2 linked regions of the Saccharomyces cerevisiae S288C genome follow. Each later gene encodes a partner of the first gene's protein in a complex. Each region holds a gene or a part of one and is shown on either strand. Other genes may lie near its edges. A codon is read from its position in the direction of its gene.

Region 1 (7,779 bases):
CGAATAAACTTACCAAGTTCTACACGTTGCAACCTATGGATGTTTTGTTACCGATTTTGGAGAAAGCCTTGAATTTATCACAAATTAGAGTAAAACCCGACCTTTTTGCGAATTTTGAAAGATTGTGCGAATTATTGGGTTATGATAACGTTTTCCCACTTATTATAAATATTAAAACCAAAAGTAATGGGGGTTATCAATTATGCGGTAGCATTTCCATCATAAAGATTGAAGAAGAGTTGAAAAGTGTCGGATTTGAAAGAAAAACTGGTGATCCTTTAGAATGGAGAAGATTGTTCAAGAAAATTTCAACTATCTGTAGGGATATTATCCTAATTCCCAACTGAAAAAAATGGAGACAAAAGAAGGGTTAAGATGCACTGATCAAAAAAAAAAAAAAATTCTTTCTACTTATTATATATCTCTCTCGATTTCTAGTGTGTCATCGTAACTATATATTGTTTCGAGAGATTTTATTATTGTAATTAATTTATTGCCATTTTGATCTATTCTACATACTAACAATCAATTCATATCATTATCCCTGTTTGAGTAATATTCGAGCCTCATCATAAAATCTAATAATTCAATTCTCAAGTTTCTTCTTTCTTCCACAGATATTCCGTTCAAGTCGCCCGGTGTGAACCCTCTCAATCTGGCCACTAACCTTCTCGACTTTTTTGAAAAAAAGTGCACTTTTAATGAAGGTGTGGCTTCCCTAGATGTAGCATCTTCGTTACCATCTCCCCCCAACAAAGGTTCGCCATCTGCTTCTGTGTGGGCTTGGCCTAATTGAATTTCATGGTGTTTTTCTTTTCCACCAATTGTTTTTGGTACGGTGTCTAAGCCATTCTGCGCGTTGATATTTGTATTTTCTGTCATTCGAGGAGGTGAATCTGGTGGCATTAACTCATTCCTTTGCAATCTCTTTTTCAATTTCTCTTTTATTTGGCTCTTTGACCCTTGCATTTTCAAAGAATTGAAAATGGGTATACGAATTTCTGGTAACACTGAAATATCAGCAACTTCGGGTTGTTCTTCTAGACCTGTCTCTTTAGATACCGCATGTTCCATTGATTTTAAAAAGCCCTCATCTCTGACATTTTCTTCAACAGGTACAAAATCGTCATTAATATTGGCATCCTTATCTCCTTTAAGCGGTCCCTTCAAATTTTTATTAAGTTCGCATGTTCCACTATCTTCTAAGCGTACATTGATACCTTCTTCGGTCATAACAACTTCCCTAGATTCTTCTTCAGTGCCTTGAATGGGTGTGCTGTCCATCCTGTCATTATTTTTGTTTCTACTGTTTATTGCACCCACTTGATGTTTCTCTTGCGCAACCGTTCCATGTTCATCTTCATCACTACGCAAGTCATCAACTTTTGATTTTTCTGTCTGCTTTGAACTATTGAGAAGTATAGTCCCACTCGGGATCTGAATGCCGTCTCCTGGCACCTCATTCCTTACTGGAGAGGCTTGTTCAACATTACAAGCATAATCGTTGTTTTCACCCTCATTATTAGGACGGGCTTTCTTCACGCTCTTGTACTGTGCAATATTGTCTTGCGTAAAACTTTTACTGTTGATTTTATTCATACTTTCCTGGTTCTCCTGTCTTTGAACATGTTCAACTTGCCCTTTTCCATCTTCCTTTGTTATGGTTTGCTGGTCAAGATCTAAAGTGACATTCAAGGAATTTTCATTACAGTTTGTTTCCACTTTTATGCTATTCCTTAAAGCTAACGAAGATTCTTCGTTGGCTATACTCTTGATGTTAGTACATATAACGTCACTGCTAGGCGACACCGCTTGTTCCTCAGAAACTAAAACGTCCACCATCGTTTCATGACCTTTCGATCTTTTATTTTCAGAGGTAGGCGTCTCTTTGGAAGGTCGTTTTAGAGGATTATCACTGTTAACAACGTTATGATCAGGATTCGTTTTGATAGATCTATTTGTTACCGCCTTCAGTTCGCTAGTGAGAACTTCTATCGGTTGGTATGCGTTCACTTCCGAGGATTGTGTATCAATACTTTCATGCAGCTCAGTAACATCCACCTCATCGCTTTTAGTAGAACAAATGTTGCTATGATTGGCCACGTTTTTATCTAACTGCGTACTCTTCATCTGCTGATCTATTTCTCTAATGCTTTCATTATCCACTTCCTCTAGTGTTTCATCATCAATTGATCTGCTTCGGTTAGCATGTGATTCTTGCTGTGAAGAATTCATTATTGCAGTATTTTTAAGCGATATTGAATCTGAATCTTTCGCACTAATCTGGGAAGATATTTGAATTGAGGAGGGAGGCTCTTTCATTCCCTGCGTAGCCGGAACCTGGATATCTTGAGAATCCACTTTTCTCTGTAAGTTTGAAAGTTTATTTTCACTCCCTTCGCATGGAATATACATCGACTTAGTGTCAGGTATAGCTTCAATTTCCTTACTTGAGTCCCCTTGATGAACCACGCCCGATTCCTGTATCCACTTTCCTATTGTCTTTAATGTTGCATTATAGGTTCTCTTATCTTTAAACTTACGATTATGTGATTTGATGAGGTCAATCAACAGATTAACCATATCAATAGTTTGATAGTTAGGGTTTGGCGGTAATATACTAATTAACATGGAAAAAAATTTTTTGGCGGCACTTCTAGAAAGCGGTTTAGTGAGATATAATAAGACTAATTCACGGAGCATATTTGTACTCTTTTTGTGTTTTTGCATATTAGAGCTAACTGGATTTAAGAAGAAAACTAAAAGTGGCTCCTTTAATTTTTCCAAAATTTGGATCTCTTTTTGTATAATAATCTTTTCAAGCAACTCCAATATATAATCATCATCTCCATTTTCAATTTTTTCAATAACTGCTGCCAGTAACTTCCCATTAGGCTTCTCCTTATACGTCAGTAATTTTAACAGTAGCTCTGGACTTATTTTGAAAAGAACTTCGCTGGTCATATTTCCGCAAAATTCATCCAAATGATCCGCCATATTATTCTTTATGCAAAAATTCAATAGGCCACTGAATAATGGTTCAATGGGATTTGCCATCGCCAGATGAAGGAGTTCTCTGATTATTTCTGATTTTTCTAACTCGCTATCAGACGCATTTTGTAAAACGTTCTCGATTTCTGAAAAATTTTGATTTAGCTGTTCAAGTTGTTGACCCTTCAACAGCCAACGAACTAATGTAAGCTGTTCGGAGCACTTGAATAGTTTTATGTTTGCTGCAAAATATGAAGCTCTGCTACGTGGTAACAGCTTCAATAGGAGATCTGAATTTAGATCAGGGATGGAATTTAGTAAATTTGGATTGGAATGAATACAGTACTCCAAAATATCCATAAATTTGTTACGCCTTAAAAATGGGAGCAGACCGGAAAACAGTTCAGGATTCCCTGGTAAAGAAGTTTTTAACAGCGTGATCAGATCCACGTTTAATTTGTTTTCATTTTTTGAAACATAGCTTTGAATGAAATAAATAAAATTATTGTTCGACCACATAGACACATGAAGTAGTGTAAACAAATTAACTGGAAAGCTGAGCTTCAAACATAGGTCCAAGAAATTTTCAATGGAATTTTCATTCGGAACTTTGTTCACAATATTCGCCAAACTCTGAAATTCTCTGAAAGATATATTTGGTGGTAATAACGTTGATCCAACCCAATTTTGGGCATATACTTCTGTTTTCTTATCATCCAATTCTAGAAACTTTTCTATTATCAGAAATTCAGATGTTTCGTTTCGAGCTTTCCTGATAACATCTTTTAAAAGATCAAGGGTCATGTTTCCTTGCGAAATACCAACTTTGGAAATTTGGATATTGAAATTTACTAATGATGAATCATTCTTTCTTAAAAACAGGTCCAAAAATGTATAAACAAACGATGAAGTAACAGCACCAAAAAAGTCACGAAAAATGGGTGTATCTTTGTTGTTTTGCGTGACTTTTAATATAAGACTGCTAAAGGATTCTAAATGAGTTTGGTCCTTTCTATCCTCTGGAAGATGCTTCAAAGATGTAAGGATCAGATCATGAGCCAAATTAACGTTAGAAATGGCTACTTCAACAGCCTGGAACACAACTTTCATGATTTTATCGTATTCACGCTTGATGATCTGCGGGGGCAGGCTTGAAATGTCTTTTAACTTTACACCTTCTGAGGCTATAACACTCATTGGGTGAATATGCTTTTTATATTTTCTTTCCAATGCAACATCTGCATTCTTTCCCCCAATTAACAAATGCAAAACTGTGAAGAGTACATTTTGCAAGTGAATCGAATCATATTTGAAAACATAATCTTCATAAATCGGGGTTATTAGGTGGTCCCAAAATAGTTCAAACATATCTGTTGACAAATTCTTATTACTTGTAAATGCAGTGTAAACAACACCTAAAAGGTGGTAGATGATCCCTTCTCTAGCGCTTGGATCATTCACATAAGGAAGCGTCATTTGAAAAGGGGTTCGTAAAAGTGACAGTAAACTTTTGTTTCCTTCCTGATTTTTCTGTGATATTTTCGTGCATATGCAGTAGGTAATAATTCTCCAAACTTTGATGGACATTAAGCGAGTCTTGGGGTGATTATTGATAAAGCACAGGTTATTTAAATCAAACCAAACTTTGTTAGATTCTGATGTCAAATCATAAACTCTCTTTCCGCTATCGTATAGTAATCCGGTCATTGAAAGCCACAAATCCATTGCTATTTTATTGTCATTTTTGACCACAATATAGTTTTTTATCTGCTGTGTAAGAAGATGACCAATTGTCACTTTATCTAAATTAGCGCTGTCATATGAATTTAACGGTAGTTTAGATAAAAATTTTTCCGGGATTGTTTCGCATACTGGAGATAGCATGATACACTGGTAAATCCTTTCATGTTCATCAACAAAATCTAAGCATTTTTTTAGTAGTTCCAGTAAAACAACTATTGAAGTTATGAGAATTTTCATGGAGTAAATTTCATCTCCGATAATAATCCTAGGTAGTACCTCACCTGGTAACCAAGAAGTTACCGTCTCAATCATTAATTTTGGATACTTGCTCAAAAATCCCCTTATAAGTAGCAATTTTTCATATATTAGGTTGTGACTATTGATTTCCATTATTTCAGTGAAAGTGCTAATGATAGGTTTAATTTCTTCGTTGCTCAAGAAAAAAGTACCAAATTTTTCGTCTCTCAAGAAAGAGACTTGTGCTGTTATGATTATCTTGTTTGAATTTTCATTTCTTAGCGCACCGGTGGTCCACCTGTAAATAACTTTTAACTTATTAACCAAATCTGGCCTTTTCGTTAGCCACTTAACGATTTTGAAATTAGACATAATAGCACTGAAGAATCGAACTATTTGAACATATAGTCTGATTACAAATGGATTTTTTTTTTCACTACTACTTAATAATGTGTCCTGTGCTATTTGTAGATGCGGTATGCATATTTCAATGATACTTTCTATATTCACAATTAGAATATTGAATTTCTGATCAACCTCGTTAACATTTTTAGTGGTTAGAATGGGTATAATATTATTAAAGGTTGCGTATACCTCAAACCTCCTCGCGACGTAATCTTCAGATTCTTGTCGCAAGATGCCCAATCCGCCCTCAATAATTTCTTTAAACTCCGAAACACTTTCATTATCAACTAAACCATGGATCTCACCACTCACCCAATACTCTAAGGCGCGAGGATTTACCCTTGTTTCCTTATAAGGTGATGTGAAAATATTACCGTTGTGTAATTTGTGTTGGGTATATTGGAGTTTATTGTAACTCAAGTCGCTTACAGTCCTCACTGAAGGCAACCTATTCCTCAAAATTGATTTTCCTGGTTTGCTTGATGGAGAGGGTTTAGGTGAGGAACCTGGTATGCGGTAAATCGGTGATGATTCTATCCTATCAGAAAAAGCTACACTTTTTGTAACCGGTGATACATTATCACTATTAGAGGCAGACAACTCTGGAAGACTTTGCATTAGCCTGCTTCCTGTATCTTCTGGATATAAATTCTTGTTAATAGCTGATAAATCAAATTGTTTATTCTCGCAATCACTTGAAGACGCTAGCTTTCGCCTCTTTGGCGTTGGCGATAGATCGCTTTGTATATGCATATGAGCTTGTGGAGATGGAGGTGGCAAGTTAGTTTTCATCCACGGAGAGCTTCCATTGGAATAATTATCGTGTTGAGACCTACGGAGGATATGCTGATCAATTCGATCTATCGTATGTTTCTTTTTATCTGAAAAATCTTTCGACATTGCAAATTGACCACAAAAACGATTTTGCAATGGCAATCCTGTAATAACGTTGACGAATATATATATATATATTCACTTTTATCTCCTTAGGTACTGATGCCGACGAATTGCCTCAAATCGCTCTAAGACTGCGTTATTACTTTCGATCTTCTTGCTAACGATGAGTCGCCAATAAATAAAAAATCGACGCGTCGGTCAATTATAGTAACTTCTATTATTGTAGTAAATATGACATAAGAGGAAAAACACAAAGAACTGAAAATCAAAATGGCACTAATCACCTGCCTTCTGTTGACTTCTTGTTTCTTATCAAAAGTAGAGTATATTCACGATGTAAATCTAAGATAGCTGTCCTTACTATATAAATATTTGCTGCGGCCCTTTTTTAACGATTTGTAAAGGATTACAGCAGTTCGTTATACTTGGCTGATAGCGTTAATTTTGCATACTTTTCTTATAATTGGTAATTTTCCTACGTATTATACAGTTGTACGTATACTTATATAACAAAGTTCATGTGTACTTCATATTAACCTCAGCGATACCCCTACAGATGATGTGCCAATCCATAGTTTTGTCTTTTTCGCGATTATAATGCTTTTTCCACCATTTGAAGAGCTCATATACGAAGAACAAGTTTGGTTGAATGATAACATTAAGCCTCCGTACCCTCACAAACAAATACGCACTTGCCAGGTCACACTGGAGATATCTCATACATTCAGCTATACAAACTGTTGCAGATCTGGAGACTCCGACCATACAATGCACCAGAACTTTCCCTCCTGTTGCTTCGGAATTGCTAATAAAATCCAAAACTTTGTCTATTTGGTGGAAAAGCGGATCTTTGCCGTTGTCATCTAGATTTTCGATCTGGCAAATTTGAAATCCAGAATTTTCACTTATTACTACGTTGCTGCCATTTTCTTGCTTATCGCTGACCACAGTATCAGCTCTATTTCTGCTTTTATTACATGTAGTATTACCTGCAACTTCATTGGTATTCGTCATAGTTATTGCACGATGTGGCCTTACAGGATGAGCAATTTTATCCTTATTCAATGTCCATGAAACAACTTCACCGACAGAAACTATATGCGTAATTCCTAGAGACTTAAGTAAGGCAGGATTTTGTGCATGATCCAGGGATCCCAAATACAAGTGACGTAGAATCCGGGATGGCAGTGGGCCCTTCAAATTAACGAAATTAGACTCAAGAGGAATCTTCATAAAAAATATGCTACTAAAAAGCTCTGAAGAAATGTGTAATTGAAAGCTTTTATCCCTAAATTTCAATGCATTGGCATATAATTTTAGATTACTTCCATTCTGCGGACTAAACTCCCGCAGGACAGGTTGTAAATGGCCTAAAATTTGCAAGTCTGATGGAAAAAGGAAAAATGGTCTTGGATGGATCCTCAAAAGAGCGTCTTGTAACGGAATATTAAAGTGGAATATAATATAAGCTGTTAATAATAATGACGTTTCTGTATATCCGTCTTC
Region 2 (5,034 bases), on another chromosome or scaffold:
CCACAGAAAGTTCTTTATCTCTAATGCGTTTTGAGGTTCTTACACCCTTAGGTACACTCCTACGTGCTGTTCTTCTAGATGATTTGGCTGTGACTATCTGATCGTCAATATCTTCCGTATAATCATCATCGTCAATGTATTCTTCCCCACCAGCTGAGACGCTGTCGGATAACTCTGCCTCAATGTCACTTGCTTCACTGTCCATTGTAGTCTGCTAATCGCCAGTTATTTGCTAGTTAGGCGTTTTATCCTTGAAGAAAAGACACGTTAAAAATGAGAATCTTCGTTCTGCGTTATACTTTCCTCCTTTTCTTCTCTCTTTTTTGCTAATGGGATTCTATAAAACTGTTCCGCCTTAATCATTGTAAGAATTTTGAAAATTAAAATACGTAAAAGTTTACATAAATTATACATTGAACTGAAAAACAAAGTAGAAAACGTGAATCAGTGAAATAAAGGAGTAAAATAAGTTAAACAATGATGTTACTTAATTCAATTACTCATAACAGGTCCTTCTCAAAAAATCTTTTCCTCATTTCCATTCTACCAGTTCCATGCTTTTTAACCAGTTTCCTTATTTGTTCTTGATCATTGCTTTTTAGCGATTCGTCGTCATCATGTGTCCAAATACCAGGAACGTTGGGAGGAGGATTAACATTGTCCTTAAACATGTTCAAGAAATAGCGAGGAAAGACCATCAGATCCCCGGATAAACACGTCAATATGCTCGTACTGAAATTTTTACGTATACCAGTTTCATCGCAAAGATCCTGTACCAGTTTTTCAGCCTGTGATGGCTCATAATCTCCTGAAATAACTTCATGAAGTTTATCCATAAATTGTCTCGTACTGCCAAAATGAAAGAACAATGGCAGGAAAAGATCTGTTGTTGCAATTTTTGGTGGAAAGCTTATGGTATCAGGATCAATATTATCATATATATCTTCATTCGAAAAATCGCTTCTTATAGCTTCCGCAATCTCGTGTGGATACTCAAAGGGCAAACTATTTGAAATATTGGATAGATCATTCTTTAAACTGGAAATGAAATTCATGGTATCTTCGTCCAGTAATTCGTTTTCTGGTATAGCGTAAGAGTTGGAAGCAGCGGCAGCAGCAGCGGCAGCAGCATTAGCGGACGCTGCATTGGCAGTAGGCTGAACATTTCTTTGAGAACTATAATTTCTTGCCCTCTTGGCGGCAGAGTTATAATTGCCAGGAGTGGGAACGCCAGGCCTCTTGGGTCTATTGGTGAGGTTCTTCATCGGTTCCGGCTCTCTATTCTGAGCTTTTTCAGCTTCATAATAACTAATATAATCATCAATGCCGTAAGCGAGAAGAAACTTCCTAAACCTATCTCTCCAAGCATTCTCAGTATGTGCTGCATGCTCTTCGGCAAAATGCTTGAAAAATTCTCGTGCAATCGGTCCCCTACGGCTTTGGGTTCTGTAAGCTGCAAAGTTGGGTTCACTCCCTGGCACATGATTTGGATCCATTGTCATATTCCTCCTCGCTATAGCAGTGGGTGTATCCTCATCTGTGATAAGTGATCTTCCAGTATCAGGGTCGATTTGAAACAAATCACGATAAAACTGCTTCTTGACCGCGATTGCCAAAGTGTAATCTTCATCTGCTGAAAATTTCCTTTTAATTGATGGTGGCAAAACTTTAGTCTTTATCAGATTTCCATCGTCGTCTCTAACCAATTTACCAAACTTGTCAACCTCATAAACGTACTCTAGTCTTTTGGAAAGATAGACTCTAAATCGGTGCCTAATAGAATTACCCGTGTGGTTAGGCACATAATGGGATATTTCATCGTAAAGAGTATGTGTTGTACGCCTGGTTGGATTTTTTCTCACAACATCCAAAATAAACTCATCTTCCTCATCTGTAAAAGAAGCTTTATTGTGGGAGGGCAAAGCGCCTCTCGAAATCATGGACCTTTGTGCTTGAAAAGATGCATTCCCCTCATCTGCTGTTTGAGGGTTGTTGTCCTGTGTCAAAAGATCATTGTCTTCGTCGTTGACGTTGCTATTATTATTATTGGAGGTATCTTTTTGAGGTTGTTCGATCTGGACCAAGTCATTGTGCCCTCCGCTTGTGATTGATGCGGTGCTGCTTACATGTTGACGAAGGAGCTGAGCTTGCTCTTGTAATCTAGCTTGTTGTTCAGCGTCTACCATAACTTTTTCGCTGGTTGAGTCTTCCGTAGCGCCATTAGTATTCGTAGAGATTATTTCTGTTTTGGGCCTGATAGAATCCTTGTTATCGCTATTGCTATTGCTATTATCTACACCATTAGAATGCGATTCCTCCTGCAACCTACTATCGACAACTTCTCTAAAGTTATCGTATGGTACTAAATAATTTTCCATGTTCAGTAGCGAGTTGCTTTGACAACATGCCTTAATATAAGTCGGAGTTACCGTTGGTAAATTGGTATGATTATAGGGTGACACGATGAAAACATTCTCTTTTGATTCTCTTGGCTTGGAGTCTAGCACTTCACCACCGTTTGCTCTAATCAGACGCGCTAATTGATCAATATCATTTAAAGAGTCATGCGCATCCGCGTCGCGATTAAGATAGAATTTCATATTTGACAGAGGAGGACCACTTACTTGTTCCTTTTTCTCATCAGCAGCGGTGTCATCAGTAGTAGGTTCAGTAACAGATGCACCTGATGTCGAAGCAATGTTAGCGGTAGCAGCAGTATCAGCAATGGAAGGCGTGGTAGTTGTTACACCGACTTCAGTGGTATCATCATCATCTTTCTTTTCGACCTCCGTCTGATCCACTTTCTCACTAGTTTCAGCAGCAGTAGCACCAGTGTTTTCTTCGTTTTGATTAGCTTTTACCTCAGCGGCTGAATCCGATGGCGCTGTGACTGCAGCAGAACCACTGTCAACAACGACCATACTCGGATCCAATGCATCAACATATTCTGCTGGTGCAGTTTCAAAATCATCTGGACTAGACATATTGAGATAATCTGTACGCAAATAGTGTCTTATGTAGGGCGGTTGCGTATACAACGGTTTGTGTTTACTACCTTTTGGGCTATGGGTTTGTTTTGTTTAAAACGTGTATTGATGGTGTTTAGGTGCTGGATGTTGGGTGTTGAAGAAATGATTGCGGTTGTCTGTTTTCGGTTTTGTTTTCTTTTCTCGCTAAATTTTAAAACTTCAACAACGAAGAAGAGGCGGGTAGCGGCCATTGGGCAAGAATACTTGTAGCTCCAGCGAAAGTTTCATTGAAATTTAAGATTCAGTATTATGAGTTACATAATAATATTCATATCTTTTTCATATAGTACATTATATAAAATCTGTTGCGCTTTTAAGTAGTACTTTTTGTTTTAAGAGCATTGTACTTGAATTAATTCATAGTCATATTGCCCCTTCTTAATATCGTACTTCACTTTCATAGATGAAAGCAGATTGTTCTTTATACATGCTGTGTCCAAACCTTTGGTCTGTCTCCGTAGGTTTAGTCCCATGGATGCATCGTGCCCGTAAAATACTTTGGCGTTACTAAAGTGGTCTCCGTATTTGTCCCACAGTGTGTACCATCTCACATAATTCTTGTTTTCCTTTTCACGTGATGTTTTTGACCAGTTCTTCTTATCAACGTACTTCATGTTTGACAGAGAGCTCACGCCCGGAATTTGGTTGGGCTTCATGAAGTCTCCCGGAACCATCCCTGCATGTGCACCAAAGAGTATATCACCGGTAATATCCAGATCTAGTTCTATGGCCATAGAACAATGTTCCGCTAGCTGACTTAATTTGGAAAACCCAAGTTCGCGAGCTAACCGTCCATGTGCGTTGCTGATTTTAGAGATGTCTTGTGGTATGAAATTAGTCTCCGTACTGAAAGTTAAAGGTGTCATTAATTTGGGGCGTCTTACCCATTTCGAGAAGTCTGGGTTTAAATAGGCCATCATGACCAATATTTCATGATTGCCCAAAACGCACTTGACTTGATCCTTGTGATTTAGAATATACGACACGACCTTGTCTGAGTCCGGGCCCTTGTGAATAAAGTCACCCAGCAATATCATTGTTATATTTTCTCCTAGTCCTCCAATCTTGTCATCAATGAGTTCTATGAACTCATCATAGTTACCATGAACGTCACCAACAAAAACGTACTCCTTATTTAAATCTGTTACATGCTCAATTTTCTTCAAGGTGCTAATTGTAGGCAATAAGGAAACTGGTGGAGACAACCGAGGGTTATCAAACTTGAATATATATAGTGTATAAACGCAGCATGCCACAAATAATATCAATGCTGTACTAAGTGTAGCGGCTCGTCTTTTCCGCTTATCTTCCATTTTTGCGTATCTATGCTCCTCAAGCCTGGCTCATTTTACAAGCTGGAAGGTCGAGGAAAAGGAAGAACTAATTCAAGAATAATGTGCTCTTCTTATAGGATGCGTATATGTTCTAATATATCTCAGATGGGCCCGCGAGACTTTTCTAGCATGAAAAAAAAAGGTGGATCCTTGATTATCTAAAATTATAGTTTATATCGTTCATGCTGCACAAAAACGTGCCAGCAATGCAATGCGCCTCAAGCGTAAAAAAACAAGCGGCATTGGCCAACAGAGAAAAAAATATGAATTGTAGACGCGGCATTGAGAGAAGTATGGAAGACCCTTGACTAACCCTGATATGACTGTCTCAAGTCAGGATCTTCTTTGTCTCCTAAATGTTTGCCGTCCAGGAACTTTAAGTCAGTTTTATTTGGACATTTCTCGAGCACTTCTTTGGGAAAGTAGTCTTGTTGGACTTTTCCTTCAATATAATCGGGATTGTACTTGTAGCCTTTATGATAACCCAGCTCCTCCATCAATTTGGTTGGCGCATTTCTGATATGCATCGGTATCTCACTGCTTGCTAAACTGTACATGTTCTCGCTCATCATTGCCCTTAATTTCTTCCAAGCTCTATATAGTTCTACTGACTTTGGTGCCCTAGCCAAAGCAACACAACATTGCGCCAGTGCAAGGTCTGCCTCTGGCAA

Evidence for each region.
Region 2: the proteins of RIF1 (region 1) and RAP1 are in contact, whole or in part, in a crystal structure (PDB 4BJT), measured with the Saccharomyces cerevisiae proteins. Residues at the interface, in NP_009834.4 of Saccharomyces cerevisiae: Ile1760 (codon at 999), Arg1761 (codon at 996), Ile1762 (codon at 993), Pro1763 (codon at 990), Ile1764 (codon at 987), Phe1765 (codon at 984), Asn1766 (codon at 981); in NP_014183.1 of Saccharomyces cerevisiae: Ile724 (codon at 815), Tyr728 (codon at 803), Glu729 (codon at 800), Pro730 (codon at 797), Gln732 (codon at 791), Ala733 (codon at 788), Glu734 (codon at 785), Leu736 (codon at 779), Val737 (codon at 776), Thr752 (codon at 731), Leu755 (codon at 722), Thr756 (codon at 719), Ser759 (codon at 710), Gly760 (codon at 707), Asp761 (codon at 704), Leu762 (codon at 701), Met763 (codon at 698), Met817 (codon at 536), Phe821 (codon at 524), Asp825 (codon at 512), Leu826 (codon at 509).

Annotation. Positions count from the first base shown.
Region 1 is NC_001134.8:750,831-758,609, forward strand, and holds RIF1 (DNA-binding protein RIF1), read right to left. Parts: upstream 6,277-7,779; coding exon 526-6,276; downstream 1-525. Other genes in the region: serine/threonine protein kinase CHK1, read left to right, coding at 1-347; tyrosine/serine/threonine protein phosphatase PPS1, read right to left, coding at 6,790-7,779. UniProt on the Saccharomyces cerevisiae protein: Negatively regulates telomere length by preventing telomere elongation or promoting degradation of the telomere ends. Recruited to telomeres by interaction with the C-terminus of RAP1, which binds directly to telomeric repeat DNA.
Region 2 is NC_001146.8:239,639-244,672, reverse strand, and holds RAP1 (DNA-binding transcription factor RAP1), read right to left. Parts: upstream 2,985-5,034; coding exon 501-2,984; downstream 1-500. Other genes in the region: IES2 (Ies2p), read right to left, coding at 1-205; PPN2 (putative serine/threonine-protein phosphatase), read right to left, coding at 3,362-4,342; ssDNA-dependent ATPase MGS1, read right to left, coding at 4,672-5,034. UniProt on the Saccharomyces cerevisiae protein: Essential regulatory protein in yeast whose DNA-binding sites are found at three types of chromosomal elements: promoters, silencers, and telomeres.